Linked DNA regions of Oryzias latipes. The protein of the gene in region 2 purifies or fractionates together with the protein of the main gene of each other region. This does not show direct contact. Links are inferred from orthologs where the notes say so. Each region holds a gene or a part of one and is shown on either strand. Other genes may lie near its edges.

Region 1 (7,301 bases), on a different chromosome or scaffold from region 2:
TTTTATGACTATACAGGAAAACAAAGTCAAGACAAAATGTTAACTTAGGATGTCAGAAACCATGTATTGCTCCATACTAGAATTTAGGCACGACAGAGGAGGGGCGATGGTTTGGGCTTGTTTGACAGGACTTCAAGTCCCAGATTAAATACTTTGAATTCACAATTCATTGAAAGATGATTTTTTTTGTCACAAAATACTTTTAAAAAATAAACGACAGAATTGTGTTTTTTTTTGTGTGTCACTGCACATTTGAATTGTGTTAACTTGATCATAAGACCCAAAGATAAGGACATTTTTTAAATATAGTCTAGGGCTCACACATATCGACTATTCAGAAAAAGAATGTATAACGCTGACGTTCATGCAAGGTTTGAAAAAATGAAAATCTTTGGAAGATTTCAGGTGCTGAAAAACTGTATTCAAGGAAATTGAGGCCTGAGGTATGCAGATATTTAACAGAGAAAATGACCCGATAAATTCATAGGCAAAGCGATTCACTTTCCCCACAATTCGGTTCAAACCTCACTTTTTGGGTGACAGTTTTGTTTTCAGTTCAATATGCTAATAGTGCATGGCAAAACAACAACAAAAAACTAAAAAAATCGACTTTATAATTAAATAAGCAAATAGTAAAAAGAAAACCTTTCAGCTGGTTCATAGTAACCTTGGTGTGATGTAATAAACACTGTTAAATATATTGAACTTAGCACAACACACTTTCAACGCAAACATGTGTAAATGTTTGCAGCAGTGATGCAACAATACATTTTTCCACAACGTAGTTCAATGGTTTAACATAGGGTTTGGTTTTTAACTGAGAATCGTAGCATCACTACGTTCCTTACAATACCAAAGCAATAATCATAACAGCAGTTGGACATGAAAGGCTTTTTAAAAGTAACGTGTCTCAATTCTTTTTTGGATGAAAGAATAAGAATGCTACTTAACCCCTTAACGTATATTTGATACAAACTTGGATCTAACCACTTTTACTCCATATTTACCTTAATTTCTTCTACTTGAAAGCAAAAAATGTTTTTTTCTTCCTTTTTTGGAAATAAACTCAAGGAGTTAAGCTATTTATCCCTTGTGCTATCCTAGGCACTTTAACATTGGGAGTTGGGTCATCTAGACCCACTACTAAACAGTGCTCTGAACCCTTTTTCTTCAATGATTTGTGATCTTCACTGGTGTCCATGGATTACATGAAATCTTTCCACCTTTATCCACCTTTGTCATGGTAGGAATAACACGTCAAAGTAAGGGTGGGGTCATCTAAGATAGCACAAGGGTTACATAAGCCAATTTCAATTTAGTTTATGCTTTTGTACTGAAAAACATTATTAGACAAAAATTATAACTAGCATAATCCTGACTGCTATGTTTTACAGTTGTCAATATTTTTTTTCCTGCTGAACCTTAAATAAAAGTTTAAATAATTTAAAGACTAGTACATTAGTACTAGTGTGAAAATTGAGACACCAAAAATGTCACTTTCTTGAGGCTCATATGAAAACTAAGTCGCAATTTTTGGCATCAAACGGGGCCTCAGAGCTGGGCTGAAAATAGATTCTCTTCGGGCAGAAAACTCAAGAACAAGCCCTTCTCCCCTGAGCACTGGTTTTTCCTCCAGCGCCGCGCGTCTCTCTGCCAGGGCAAACACTCCCTTTGAACAATGCCGACCTGTTGAGCTGCTTCATTCACATGGTTCCGTGGATAAACTCAGAGAGAGCCTCCGTCTGTTTTCTGACGGCTTCACCAAATCCACAAGGGCTGTAGCCTCAAGGAAAATAAAGACCCGCTGACATCAAAGCTGCATCAATCAAACACCACATGATTCTTGAAGTTTAATCAACTGATTTGGTTCTTTTTTTAAATGACCAAAACTGACCATTTTTTCCCTGACTATGACTCATGCTGACATTAAAACTTTAATAATAACAGTCAGAAACCGTGAAATTATCATAAAAAAAGACTTTATTTATAACAATAAAACAGATGATCTCTGATCAAAATCAACACTTGGAATACTTACAACAAAAGTTCAGTTTGTTAAAAAAATGTGTTTAAACAAAGTTATGTCTCCCCCTACTGGCTCATGCTTGCAAAGCAGGTTTTAAAATGACTGCATTTGCTGCTTCTGTTTGGTATCATCGAAGCTCTGAAGTTCAGCTGAAAGTCCAGGTTTGTTTAGTCGGTAATGATGAGCTCATCACAGCCCCAGTCCTCGTAGCTGCCGTCGGGGAGGTACCTGCGGATGATGATGGGGATCTTTCTGCTCCTGTTCAGAACAAACGGCAAACATTGAGTTACCAGGAACAAAACAAGATGAAAGAATTTAGACAGAAATGGAATAATCTGATGTACTTTAGTTCCTTCATGGCGATCTGCAAGGGGTCTGTTTCTCCCTCCAACTCGACCATCACAGGAGCGCACATGCTGTCGGCAGAACAACGACAAAATCCTCAAAATAAATCCCAAATTGAAGTAAAATGTCATTATTTTAAAGCCAGAAAACAGGCGGGGCAGAGGATTCATGGACTGTTCATTCACACACACACTTTTCAAACCAGTGTGTCCTTAAACGGCCCAAACACAAAAACACAGAGATGTCAACAACCAGGTTCAAACCCAGAACCTGCCTTCAAAGCTGCAAAACTGAGAAATGTAATTCAGTGTCATTTTGACAAAATGAGATGCAAAGATTTTTTTGTTTGTCCCTGAAACACGTGATCTGCAGCAACCAGTTGGGACCTCGTGATGGGCCCATAGCACAGCTGGGGGGCTTTTCTCTAGCTGGGCCAGGGCGTGCATTCTCCATGCTCCTGTGACTCCTTGCTCTTTGGTGCTGGGGACTATTTCGGCAGTCCCTCCTCTGGTATGGATGGCTGGTATCGGGTCACTGGGGTGGTGGATTCCCTCCTGGCTGTGGTGGTCCTGGCTGCCGCTACTGCCTCACCTCATTCTGGGGGGCTTGGTGTGGGACGACCAGGTGCTCCCCCCCTTTTTTTTATTCATTACGCTTCATACCATCATTGTCCACAGTAGAACACAGACAAAAAAACTAAGCACCAATGCCCACTCACCTTGGCTCAGAAAAGGACTTTTGTATGAGATTGTATCTGCTTTTATGCAAATGAAGGTGCATATTTATCTGATCTCTATCTGTGTTGTGTACATGACAATATGCAAGAGTGAAGGTTTTTGAGGGCAACAGGAATGTTTATAATATTCAGTGTGTGCGATAAACATAAACATCTAATTGTGAAAGTTATAAATAACCTCTAGCAACGTTTTGTCTCTTTTTGTTTGCAATGGTGTGTTTCTTTGGTGACTCTCCAACTTCTATATGTCCTTTTCTATCTTGTCCCCCCCATCCCTAATATCCCACTATCCTTCTCCGTTTTCTCCGGTCCAAAAAGGAATGGACACAAGTCCATCATTTTTCTAAAACCGGCCTATTGTAGATCAGGGTCTGAAGGAGCCTATCCTAGCTGTTTTGGGGCAAAGATGGGGTACATGCAGCATAGTTCAATAAGCACAAATATTAATAAAATAAAGTTAAGCCTCAATACAAAAAGGTTTGTAGTGACATAAACCTCCTCTGCCCAAAGCTTCAAAACTCCTATGGTAACATTACAATCTGTCCAACACCAGGGGCCTTCAGCTCTCATCTGTTTGATCAGCTGCTCCACACGACAAATTAGCAAAATAAAATAAGAAGAACAACAAAGCCACAAATGTTTGGAAGCCTAACTTATTGGTTTAGAAGAGTAAAGCGCTTATTTTACAGTAAACAACTCACGCTATTTGGAGGGCTCGTGTTCCCAGCACTCTCGCTCTCTCATATTTGGTCATGTGCGGTGTTGTAATCCTTTTCTGGTTAGCCTGCTGCCCCTCTCCTGCGGGGAGGATCTGTACGTTCTCCTGGTCCTCCTGATGATCATCCAAGGAAAACAAGCATCTGATTAGACTGCCAGATAGAAATCATGAATAATGAACCCCAAATATGATCCACTAAATGAAAAAAGTGCAGACGAACATACATCTTCCACGTTTTCCAGATCGTCTAATCCTTCGTCCTCATCGGCGTCCTCAAAGTCTCCATCATCAAAGCTGCAAATGTTGACAAAAACTGTATCAAAGACCGAAAACGGTGAAGTCGTAACCTAGCTTAGCTAACAGGCTACACGCTAAAATAGATTTAAAATTAACATATACCATGACATTATTTGATGAACATAGATCACAACTTACTTGTCTTCGTTATCAGACATGTTTTAACTTATATTTTTTCCAATATAGATACTAATAGAGTTTATTAGCAGCAAATTTAATTTAGAGGCTAAACCACATTGAGCGTTGTGGTCTCTAAACTTCCGGTGCGCGTGTACGCTGAAAAATTATGTCCGGCTTCTCAACTAGAATTTCTTTTTTTGTCCTACCTTTTTCTAATTCAATTTAAAAACAAGCAAACAAATAGTATATAAAAAGCTTACTTTCTATTATAGTCAAGTATCCTAAACAAAATAAACTTCAACTAGAAATAAATATAAATCCATCAAACTATGGAAAACCAAGGCTGTACCTTTAGAGAAAAAGAAGACACCAAAATGATAGTTTTCAACATTTATTTTAATGTACCCTTGAGAGAAAATGAATACTAATAATTCTTAATTTTTTGCCCTGCATTTATAGAAAACGAGTAACAATGGCATGTCACTTAGTGCAAAGTTAAAGAACAGAATTGGGTCAACCGAATGCGAAAAAACATTCAGAGCTAAGGCTGGATTCTGTTTTTTTTACTCTTCATCTAATATATTTTCCTACGTGATCAAATGAAAAGATATTCACAATAAACAACATAAAAATGTTTTTGCAAGTGCTTTCCTGTCTTATGTAAGAATACTCATTGCAAGAAGTAGTCTATTTAAGTGTACTACAAGTATACTTATAAATGTGAGGCAGTATACTTGACGTTTATTTTTTTAAAATATAATGTCAAGATAAAATCTAGATATTGTAAACTTAAAATTTCCAATTTCCAGTCTCAAGAAATATTCTGTTAGTATACTTCATCTCTACACTACATGAACATGGTCTTTAGTACAGCGTACTTGCTTTATACTTATATTCAAGCAAACTTAAAAAAATAAAAGCGTCAACTTTTTGCTAGGGTTAAGCTCAAACAGCTGGCACTTTGTCAAAGAACAGATCCATTTAGATTCTTCACTTATTTAATAAAATGTGTCTATACAAAAGAGATTTCTTTTAAAACAATTCTTCATTACCTATTTTATAAATATAGCAGTGGATGGGTAAGAATTTCTAAACACAAAAAGGAAGAAATGTTCACGTTTTTAACAACAAAATTAATCCTGTTTGTTGGTTACACATAAACTTTTTTTTTTCAAATATAGCCCAACTATGAAATATGCAATTGATTCTTTGTTAATTTAGTAAACAACAAGTTGCAATAATTTACAATAAAAGTGAACATTTGACAGGAGATTCTTGTCACAACCTTTTAAAAAAATGTCACTTGTAAAATTGCTCTCTTTCACAGTTTTCTATACATTTTCTGATGAACCCCTTTAACCAAATTACTAAAAAAAACTAAAAAGTAAATATAGCAAAAGATAGTGCAGGAATCTGCATGGCTGATTTTGTCTCAGAAGAAATCTGTAGGACAACAACTTTAAGCATTTTCTAGTGATGCAGGTTTGGAAAAATATTTTTCTTAAAACAGGGTTTTAAAAAAGTGGTAAAAAAATAACATCAGTAGGAATTGGTTTCTATTTCAAAGTACTCCGTTTTTCTCTTGCTGGACTTTGTAAACAATTTGAACAGAATGTGCCAAACAGACGAGAGCTCATACCAGTCCCTACATTTTTGGATAATCTAGATTCTCTTCTACAGATGAGAAACTAAATCTAAAATTGACCAGAATGTTCCTGCAGCTCTTCAGTCCTTTTTCCTCCCAGAGTCCTTTCTGCTCTCGGGTTTGTTGTTCAGGATTTTAAACACCTGTGCAGGTTTGAACTTTCCTTTTGGCTTCTTGAGCCCTTTCTCTCCTTCCTTCGGAAAATCTGAAGAGAGATTTTGTCATTAACAGCAGTGAAACAAAATTATCCTCAGCAAGACACTTTCAAGAGGGGATTGGTGTCACTCTCACCTCGGTTCTTCATTTTTTCTTCCAAAAGCATATCTTTGTCTTTATCCCTAATGAGAAAAAAGGAAAAAGGTGTATTTTCTGTAACTTCTACATTTTAGTGTCTGAGTATAAGGAAGCAGTATTTGCGTCAACCTCTGTTGGTCCTGATCCAAGCCGCTTATGATCTGATTTCTCTGCTCTATGATGGAGACCAGCTCATCCATCAGCTGCTGCTCACGACCCCGATCCTCCTGACTCCATTCACTCTCTGTTAAAACACATCAAGTCAAAGCCTTTCTCATTTTTCTGAGCCCAGTAGAGACGCTTATGGATTCTCACCTCTATTTCTGTCTGGGTAAAAGCAGACGCTAACCTGGTTTGTTGAGGAGACATCTGAGCTCATACTCCACATCTGCCTGCCTGTCCTCCAAATTCTGCTGCTTCATCCTCAAAGAACAAAGACAAAAGAAATGATTACACAAAAATAATTAGTAAACACAATTTCAAAGAATTTGCTGGTTCACTTACAAATAGACCAGTTCTGAGCTTTTGTGTGATATAAGTAGTCGTTCAAGAGTGAGGGAGAACCACTCTGTAAGCATTTTTTCCTCCTCTTTACCTGAAATGTAAAAAGCGAAGCAACTGAAATAGAATTTCTTGCAATTATGAATAAGCGGATAATAGCCAAAAACAAAAAAAATATCTGGAACGATAGCAGTGAAACTGAAGTTCACCTTTCCGGCGTGCTCTGAGAATCCTCTCCTGTTCAACTCCTTGTTGTTCCAGATATTCCAGTTTTTTCTCCAGCTCCTTCATCTGATTCTGCAGGTCATTCATGCACAGATCCTGGTCTGTTCTTACCTGAAAAAGTAAAAAAGAAACTCCACATTATTTCTGCAACAGCTGTAGCAAACGCACCTTATAAAAGAAATAATACACATCATTTTTTTAGGTCACATGGCCCAATATTATGTTGAAGAAGTTTTAAAGTAAGATTTCTGCCTTTTTTTAAACAGTGTGTCATCTTCCACATGGCTGGAAAATGCAGCATTGAGAGACTGAATTGGGATGCAGAAATGTACCTTCCTCTTAATGAGGGGGAAGCCGTGGCCTGGAGCTGGACCCCGACTGGATGAAAAAGTCT
Region 2 (7,584 bases):
GTTTTCTGATTTTTGCAGAAAAACTCTAAAGAAGTCAATCCTTCTTGTTTTTTTTAGTAAATACCACTTCTTAAAAAATGATGGACTATTAGGAATATTAAGAACATTGTATACAAACCTTTTCCATTTTTTGGACATCCATTCCACTATGATTCATCTTCTCTTTTTCAGCATAAACTTTAAAGGATTGTAATCGCACATCTGGGACTCTCTGTTTAGGACGTGCACATTAAGAAACCCTAGCAGGAGTCAGACAGATACAGAGATGCCAGCTAAAGCTACACGACGGAGTAAAGCTGTCCCTTTTTTCTTTTGGGGACTTTTAAAGTCGGTGATTGTAGCTTTGAAAAGAACGTTTCAGAAATTTAAAACGTATATGCAAAAAGCAAATCCAAAATGAAGCTTCTGCCTCTTGCACAGAGCTGCTGTTTCCTGCTGAGTCTGTGGTTCACTTACTGACTTCTGTGACATTACGTTTCAGTGGGAAGTTGTCAAGTCATTCAAGACACTTTTGTGTTGCACAATGACAACCACAGGCTTGCTTGGTAACAACCAGACAAAGAAGGACAAAAATGTTCAGTGTGCAATATGTTCTGTCTACAATTAAAAAAAAAAAAATGTGCCTACATGTAAGGTGGTGGTTCTGTCATCTAGACGTTTACAACTTGGTTGCTTTTTTTCTATCTTCAAATGTACGAGTCAAATAATTTCATGTACAACTCAAATGATTTGATTTATTAAAGTATTTTGTAAACAAATACAGAGAGTTTTGTGTCTTTTTTCTCTCCACACATCCTACTTTGAATTTCAGTGCATTTTCTTGCGCTTCCGTCTCTCGACAAACTTATCGTATTTGATCAGAGGCAGAACAAGTGAGGCGTATCTGTGTTCGTCCTGTAGCTGTGCTTCATCTCCTTTACCGCGGGCTGGCTTGCTTATGGTTAAACCCATCGACTTTGCAATCTCCAGCATCCTGTAGGGAAACAAGAATCATTCTTTAGTGGCAGAACAACAATATTACCTTGTTAAAGACCCACTCCAATAAAATGTTTTTGGTGTTTTTAGCCCTAATCTTCTAAAAAAAAAAAAAAAAAACTGCACTCTAAGGACCGGCTCCTCCAAATCCAAAAAAACAGCGAGTGACATCAAGAAGTGAGGAACAGCCCCTTCCAGGAACAGTCTGTGCTGCCAGCACCGCCCCCAGGCTTACAGACACACCCACTTTCTCAGCGGAGCTAGTGGTAAACAGCAAAGCGCTTTCATTTTATGTACAGAATATGCATATCCATCTTTGCAAATGTTGGGACATGCTGCCAAGTCCGACCCTAGGTTGTCATAAAATGTGCGAAACCCACACAGAGAGAAAGGTGGTGCCTCAGAGAGAGTCGTCTTATGTTCGGGTTGGAAAATCAGTTGGTAAAATAACTAAGATGTTTTAAAGGGAGAGAATTTGGGGTTTTTGTACCTGGCCTCATTGATTTCCAGGTCACGGTGAAGCAGTGAGAGGTTAACAGTCATGTCACCCAAATGCAGCAACAGAGCCAGACTGTGAGCTGCTATTTTGGCCCGCATTGATGTCGACACAATGTTCTGGACCCTAAAAGGAGAACACAAAACACATTTGTCAGCTTTTTTTTTTTTTAAACCTTAACAAAAGAGGGGGTACTGTCGCATACACACCTGCCATTATTGTATGTCTCCACTGTAAATGTTCGGAGAATTTTACTTTGAATGACACGAGGACAACCTTCCTCAGTCCAAACTGCAAACAAAAACGGGTGGAATAGAAAAAGCATCATACATTACAAAACTTTAGGGGCAGGGCATTTTAACGTGTTGATCAGCGATATTTAGAATCTACTACTTCAATAACTGAGATTCCAAAATTCTGCTCACATTTGCGAGTGACAATCTTCTGATGGGCAAGTTTGATGAGGAGAGACAGGTAAAAAGCGCAGCGAGCAGTTTTCTCTCTAGGTTCACTTGCGGATGGCATGTTCTCCAGGTGCTTCATCACACACAGATTCCTTTGGTAAGAAATAGAGAAATATTTCAATTCAATAATAAGTAAATAAGGCTAATAAGACAAAAATGCTCTCTGCTACCATACCCTCTTTGGTCTTTCAACTTCTGCAGCTCCTCTTGGCTTAGTGCCGTCATCTTTTGACCGTTCGGCTCCAAAGCAGCAAATTCTACTGGACTCAGTACTGTTGAAGTCAAATTAAGGATGGAGAAAAGTGCTGCTTTTGCTCGAACTACATATGCATGTAATTTCCAATATCTGTTCAAATTGGGGGTGGGGGGGTAATGTTAAAAAGATACGCTCTTCAAAGGGGTAGACATCTTCTTTTTTGTCTGCATCTGCATTGCAGGGAGGTAGGTGTAACGACAGGGCTCCTTGAGACTCTGTTTCAGCTACTTCCTGTTGCAGAGCTAACAAGAAAAAAAGGGGGAAAAAAACATGTAGTAAAAAAAAAATGATGGCAAGTCCAGTATGAATTTGAGTTATATTTTCTTGTCTAGATTACTCCAAAAGGCTGAAAGCTTCACGCTTACCTTCCAGACCCTTGTTATCAATCACAGTGCTGGCAGCTTCAGCCACTGCATGATGCAGAGCATCACTGCCCACCTGGTTGAGCCTGCGAGAGCTCAGAGCTCGTTTCTGTTTATTCGTGCCAAAGGCCTCAATCAAGGAGTCAACCTTGAGAAAGAAAAAAAAAACATGACTTCACTGTGTGCTTGTTTGTTTCAAAAGAAAGCTTGTTTTTCTCATACCTTTTCCCTGTAGGACAGAGTGGTGTCCTGAGGCTTTGCATCATGTGTTGCCTCTCCTGGTGGAAATTAACTGGCATTACTAAATTGCCCTCCTTTAAAAATCGCTTGTTATTGTTTTGGGGATTGCATTTCTTTTACCTGGTATGACAGGTTGCATGTTGAATAGCTGAGCGCTGTGTATCTCCATCTGCATGGTTTCTTTATTCAAAACTCCAACATAATATCTGAAAATAATTGCATCACAAAACTCATTCGATAAGGATACGAAAGGTCTATATCAAATGTTAATGTATATAAAATGTAATGATAACAAACCTGCAAAGATTATTGCATTTCATTAAATCTTCTCCAAAATTCTGCCCGACATAAGACAACCTGTCTGATTCAGCAACCTAAATGGAACAGACAACTGTTACATATTTAATGAATGCGAATCTGTCATTTTTGTTTAATTATTATGGTATAATGTACGTGTGTGTGGTTGTAAATATATGGATATGCATCTCTTATAACATTTTTTATTTTACAATCAAAAAATGACAAACCATCTTAAGTTTGATAAACATATGAGTGGATTTGTATTTCTTCTTCAGTGTGATGTTATATTGATTGCTTGAAATATATCAATTCCATGCAAACTATGGTGTGTGCGAGCACGCATGCGCAATTTCTCACCACGATCCGCCTTATCTTTTTCCTCGGATTATTTTCTTCTATGTTCTTGAATGTGGCAAAATCCAGTTCCTCTGCATTGCTGGTGAAACCATTCGAAAATCGGACTGCAAAAAATACAGAGAATGGCGTGTTAATGTTGATTATGTGTGAGAATATTGCCTTGTAACTTTCACGTGTTCTGATTACTCCTGAAAAATGGAATAGTTTTATACACTTGAATGCAACACAGATAACTCAAATACTGACTGTATGCTCGCCTGCTTTAGAGATTATTGTTTCAAAAAGGCTGAGATGAGAATAATTACCTATGATCGCTTTGTCAGACTCCCTTTCCTCCTCGCAGCACACCATCCTGCACGAGGCGGCCATGATTGTTGTTGTGATCTGTGAAAGGAGCGAGAGGACTCACTCATCTGTATTTACGTAAAACGTAACGCTCAGTGAATTTGGTCAATGACGAATTTTTGTCTTTTCTTAAAGCTGTCTAAAAACATTTTTTTTCTAAATACACGTAAATATTATTCACAACACCTGTCTTAATAAAGTAGATATTTAAAACCATTTCGCTCAATAGTTTTCATCCTAGACACTTACGAACGACAGCGACACCCTGTGGTGAATCATTCAAACTGCTGCGCTTTACCTCAACGAGGTCATTTCAATCAAGGTGCAGCAGCGCCACCCTGTGAGTCTGGATGGGGAAAAAAAGCCGTCTGAATAAATGTTCGTATAGATTAAGCAAAACGTGCTGCTTGGTAAGCGCCGGAAACACACCAGATCATCGGTATTATGATATTGTTCTGAAGTTGTATCCTGCTCATCGGTCATCCTAAAGCTAACGACCATCGCAACTCCCTTCTTCTCGACAGTTGAACTACTACGCCGTTCAGACTGTATTGGAGAACTACGAGGAAGTGGCTTAGAGGAGATGTTATGAACACCGCAATGGAAGGGTTAGCCATAGGTAGCTGCACTTGAGGGGACATTTTGTGGGGGAAAGGGTGTCGGCGGAGACGATCTTTTGGGGAGACCTAATGCACCCGCTGGTGCTGCTATATAGCTAGAAGGAGTTGGCTAGCCGCGCGGCTGCTAACGAGACTCACTACTAGCCTCTTCACTTTTTTTCCCTGAATATTTTCTCAATTTTTTTCCTTCGGGGACACACTTTTTGGAAGACTTAAAGGTAATTTGTGCTATTTGACATTTTTAAAATCTAGTATATGTTATTTATTGTTTATAACCCACATGATTGTCCAGTTTAAACTTGCAAGCTATTCTTTAAGGTCTGTTTTGCAGTAACCGAATTCTCTATCATCAAGTTGCGATAAAAAAATATAAAGTTTGGGGAATTTAAAACGACTAATTACCCAAAGTTTTTGAATGTAATAAATGTTACAACACGGTTATCGCATAGTAAGATATTGAATTCTATTTTAGGCCACAGAATTCTATAAAATTAAATCAATTATTCTGAAAAAAAAATTAGCTAGCTTACTTAAATTTCCTTCTTTTGTGTGTGTTATATGTTGAGTCTTTGGAAACGCTTTTAACCAAAGTGACTCACTAGTTTATTACAATCCAAGGCAACGTGAGGTTAAGTGTTTCGCCCAAGGACACTTTTGACTGTGTAGTCTTGGATTTAAACCCCCAATCTACTGACCTTCAAATTCTTTCCTTAGTTATGTCTATGTTAAATAGTCAAAAGGAAGTCAAATGTGTGTGTTTTGCACTGATAATGACATATTGAAGTCAGCCCAAAAAGCCAGAATGTTTCTAAGACTTGTTGTCTTGTTGATTAACTTAACTTCACATTCTGAGTAACTTCACATTCTGAGTGGCTAAACACACCTGATGATCCAGGGAGCAGGGAGAGCTGGGAAACAGTCAAGGTGGTAGATCTGTTGGGCAGCCCCCTGTGAAATCATTGATGTCCACGTCCTTCTCACTTTTGTCTCCTTCTCCTCCTCCTTTGGACTGATTTGTCAGCAGAGCCATGGACTTCCCGGGACACTTTGAGCAGATATTCCAGCAGCTGAACTATCAGCGGCTGCACGGTCAGCTGTGCGACTGCATCATAGTGGTGGGCAGCCGACACTTCAAAGCCCACCGCTCTGTTCTTGCAGCCTGCAGCACCCACTTCAGAGCGCTCTTCACCGTCGCCGAGGGAGATGCTAGCATGAATATGATCCAGCTGGACAGCGAGGTTTGGACCTGAAGCGAGCACTGGCTCTGCTGTGAGTTAATATCATGATAACAAACTGCCTGTTTGCAGGTGGTCACGGCTGAGGCATTTGCTGCCCTGGTGGACATGATGTACACGTCGACGCTGATGCTGGGGGAGAGTAACGTCATGGATATCCTCCTCGCCGCCTCACATTTGCACCTCAACAATGTCGTAAAAGCCTGCAAGCACTACCTAACCACACGCACACTGCCTGTGTCGCCCTCCTCTGAGAGGCCGGCCCATCACCACTCTCAACAGGAGCAGCAAAGGCACAGGCAGCAGCAGGCGGACTTGGGAGGGAACCCAGCTTCAGCGGGTAACACAAGCCTCACAGGAAACGCTGCCACGTCGAAGGTGCAGCGCTCCTTCTTGCTGCAGCAGCTGGGGCTCAGCTTGGTGAGCTCCGCTTTAGGAGGAATGGAGGAAGGCGGCGTGAGCAACAGAGCGGTCGACCAGCGGGCCTCATTCCCAGTCCGTCGATTCCACAAACGAAAGCCGTCTCTAGCGCTGACAATTTCAGAGGAGAGACCCAGACAAAGGCAGCGGACCTCAGGGGGCGCCAACCTAGGTTTGTTGGAGGAAGACGGCGAAAATGCAGATCAGGATGAAGCAGCGCTTCATTCGCCGGACTCCCACAAACCGGGGGATGATTCTAAGCTAGGCGCCGGCATCACAGGGTTTGTAGCTGTGGCTCAAGATGACCCTCAGATGCCGAGTCAGTCAGACAGTGGACGCTCTGAAGGGGAGAACTCGGTGAGGATTCCAGGAGGAGTAAACAAGGAAGAGGACATGGGTGACCAGGATCAGCAGGCCAGCAGAGCCACTGTAAAAATAAAGTCAGGGAACGAGGAAGAGCAGGGGGAAGATGAAGAGCGGAAGGTAAAAAGGATGCACATAAAGTTTTTTTCTTATTAGTTTCCAGTTTTTCCTTTTTGGGGGGGATTTTAATGTTTCTACATAATATTCGTTTTTTTCCTTCGGTAAACAGCTCAACTTTCATCACAGTGGAAACATTTTTTAATTTTTTTTGTCAGGTGGTGGTCAAGCGAGAGGTTCTCAGCTCACCTGAGCCTGTAGACGAAAACAGCGATGTGACGTCCCAGGCTGAAGGCAGCGACCCGGCAGAGCCCGGCTGCCAGGAGGAAGAGGAGAAGGTGGAGCTGAGCCCAGAGGGCAGCGACCGCAGCTTCACCTCCGACCCCCAGCCCAGCTCCGAGTCTCTGCTCCATTCCAGTTCCCAGCTCCTCCTCAAGGGCAGCATGGGAGGAGGAATGGGTGTCACGGGGGGGTTTGGCAGTAACAATGGGCTGAGTAGCAGTTCTAATTTTAATATCTCGAACTTTCTCAGCTCTAAAGACTTCGGGAGAGGTGGGTCAGGGTTGGTTTCTGGAGAGGATGACCTTCCTAACACAACCACCGGGGAGGCAGTTGCTCATCGCTTCCTGATGAGACACGACGCTGCTGGGCCGTCTTCCTCCGCGTCGTCCTCTCTTATTCAGTCGGGCACGCTAAGTGGCGAGAGCAGAAACGGCTTTGGAGACAACCTGCAGCCAGATTCTCTATTCCTGCAGCCTCCTTATGAGAACTTAGGAGGCCTCAGAGGGAGCAGTGGGAGTGCTGGACGTGGAGGAGTGGATCCTTTTGCTCTGGACTTCCAGCGCTCCAGTTTAGGACTTCACTCCCTGGGGCGACCCTCAAGAGGGATGGGAAGTGCTTCCGCTTCCACCCTGAGTTATCCAAGCTACAGACGTATTGCTCCTAAAATGAACTCTGGCATAGGAGGTGAAGGAAGAGTCCAAGACCCGGCGTCACCTTCCTCCAACCTAACAAGTCCTCTGCTTCTGAACGAGAGTGGGGGTTATGAGATGAACGGCGGCCGGCCCACCTCCCTCCCGCCTCAGCTGACCCGG

The links. The genes of interacting proteins can lie anywhere in the genome.
Region 1: the proteins of polr1e (region 2) and polr2f purify together in Homo sapiens (affinity purification with mass spectrometry; 4 studies listed by BioGRID and IntAct, with this or other methods). This does not show direct contact. The link is inferred for Oryzias latipes from reciprocal best matches to the Homo sapiens genes POLR1E and POLR2F.

Annotation. Positions count from the first base shown.
Region 1 is NC_019866.2:19,812,039-19,819,339, reverse strand, and holds polr2f (DNA-directed RNA polymerases I, II, and III subunit RPABC2), read right to left. Parts: upstream 4,416-7,301; 5' UTR 4,281-4,415; coding exon 4,261-4,280; intron 4,120-4,260; coding exon 4,050-4,119; intron 3,940-4,049; coding exon 3,809-3,939; intron 2,443-3,808; coding exon 2,371-2,442; intron 2,285-2,370; coding exon 2,194-2,284; 3' UTR 1,963-2,193; downstream 1-1,962. Other genes in the region: MICAL-like protein 1, read right to left, coding at 5,968-6,092, 6,179-6,225, 6,311-6,425, 6,531-6,604, 6,686-6,776, 6,892-7,018, 7,240-7,301. UniProt on the Homo sapiens protein: DNA-dependent RNA polymerase catalyzes the transcription of DNA into RNA using the four ribonucleoside triphosphates as substrates.
Region 2 is NC_019859.2:12,629,896-12,637,479, forward strand, and holds polr1e (DNA-directed RNA polymerase I subunit RPA49), read right to left. Parts: upstream 4,090-7,584; 5' UTR 4,075-4,089; coding exon 4,045-4,074; intron 3,835-4,044; coding exon 3,756-3,834; intron 3,555-3,755; coding exon 3,451-3,554; intron 3,168-3,450; coding exon 3,091-3,167; intron 3,000-3,090; coding exon 2,914-2,999; intron 2,832-2,913; coding exon 2,776-2,831; intron 2,702-2,775; coding exon 2,557-2,701; intron 2,434-2,556; coding exon 2,323-2,433; intron 2,208-2,322; coding exon 2,111-2,207; intron 2,028-2,110; coding exon 1,897-2,027; intron 1,763-1,896; coding exon 1,681-1,762; intron 1,598-1,680; coding exon 1,466-1,597; intron 974-1,465; coding exon 808-973; 3' UTR 718-807; downstream 1-717. Other genes in the region: zinc finger and BTB domain-containing protein 5-like, read left to right, coding at 5,444-5,653, 5,723-6,553, 6,709-7,584. UniProt on the Homo sapiens protein: Component of RNA polymerase I (Pol I), a DNA-dependent RNA polymerase which synthesizes ribosomal RNA precursors using the four ribonucleoside triphosphates as substrates.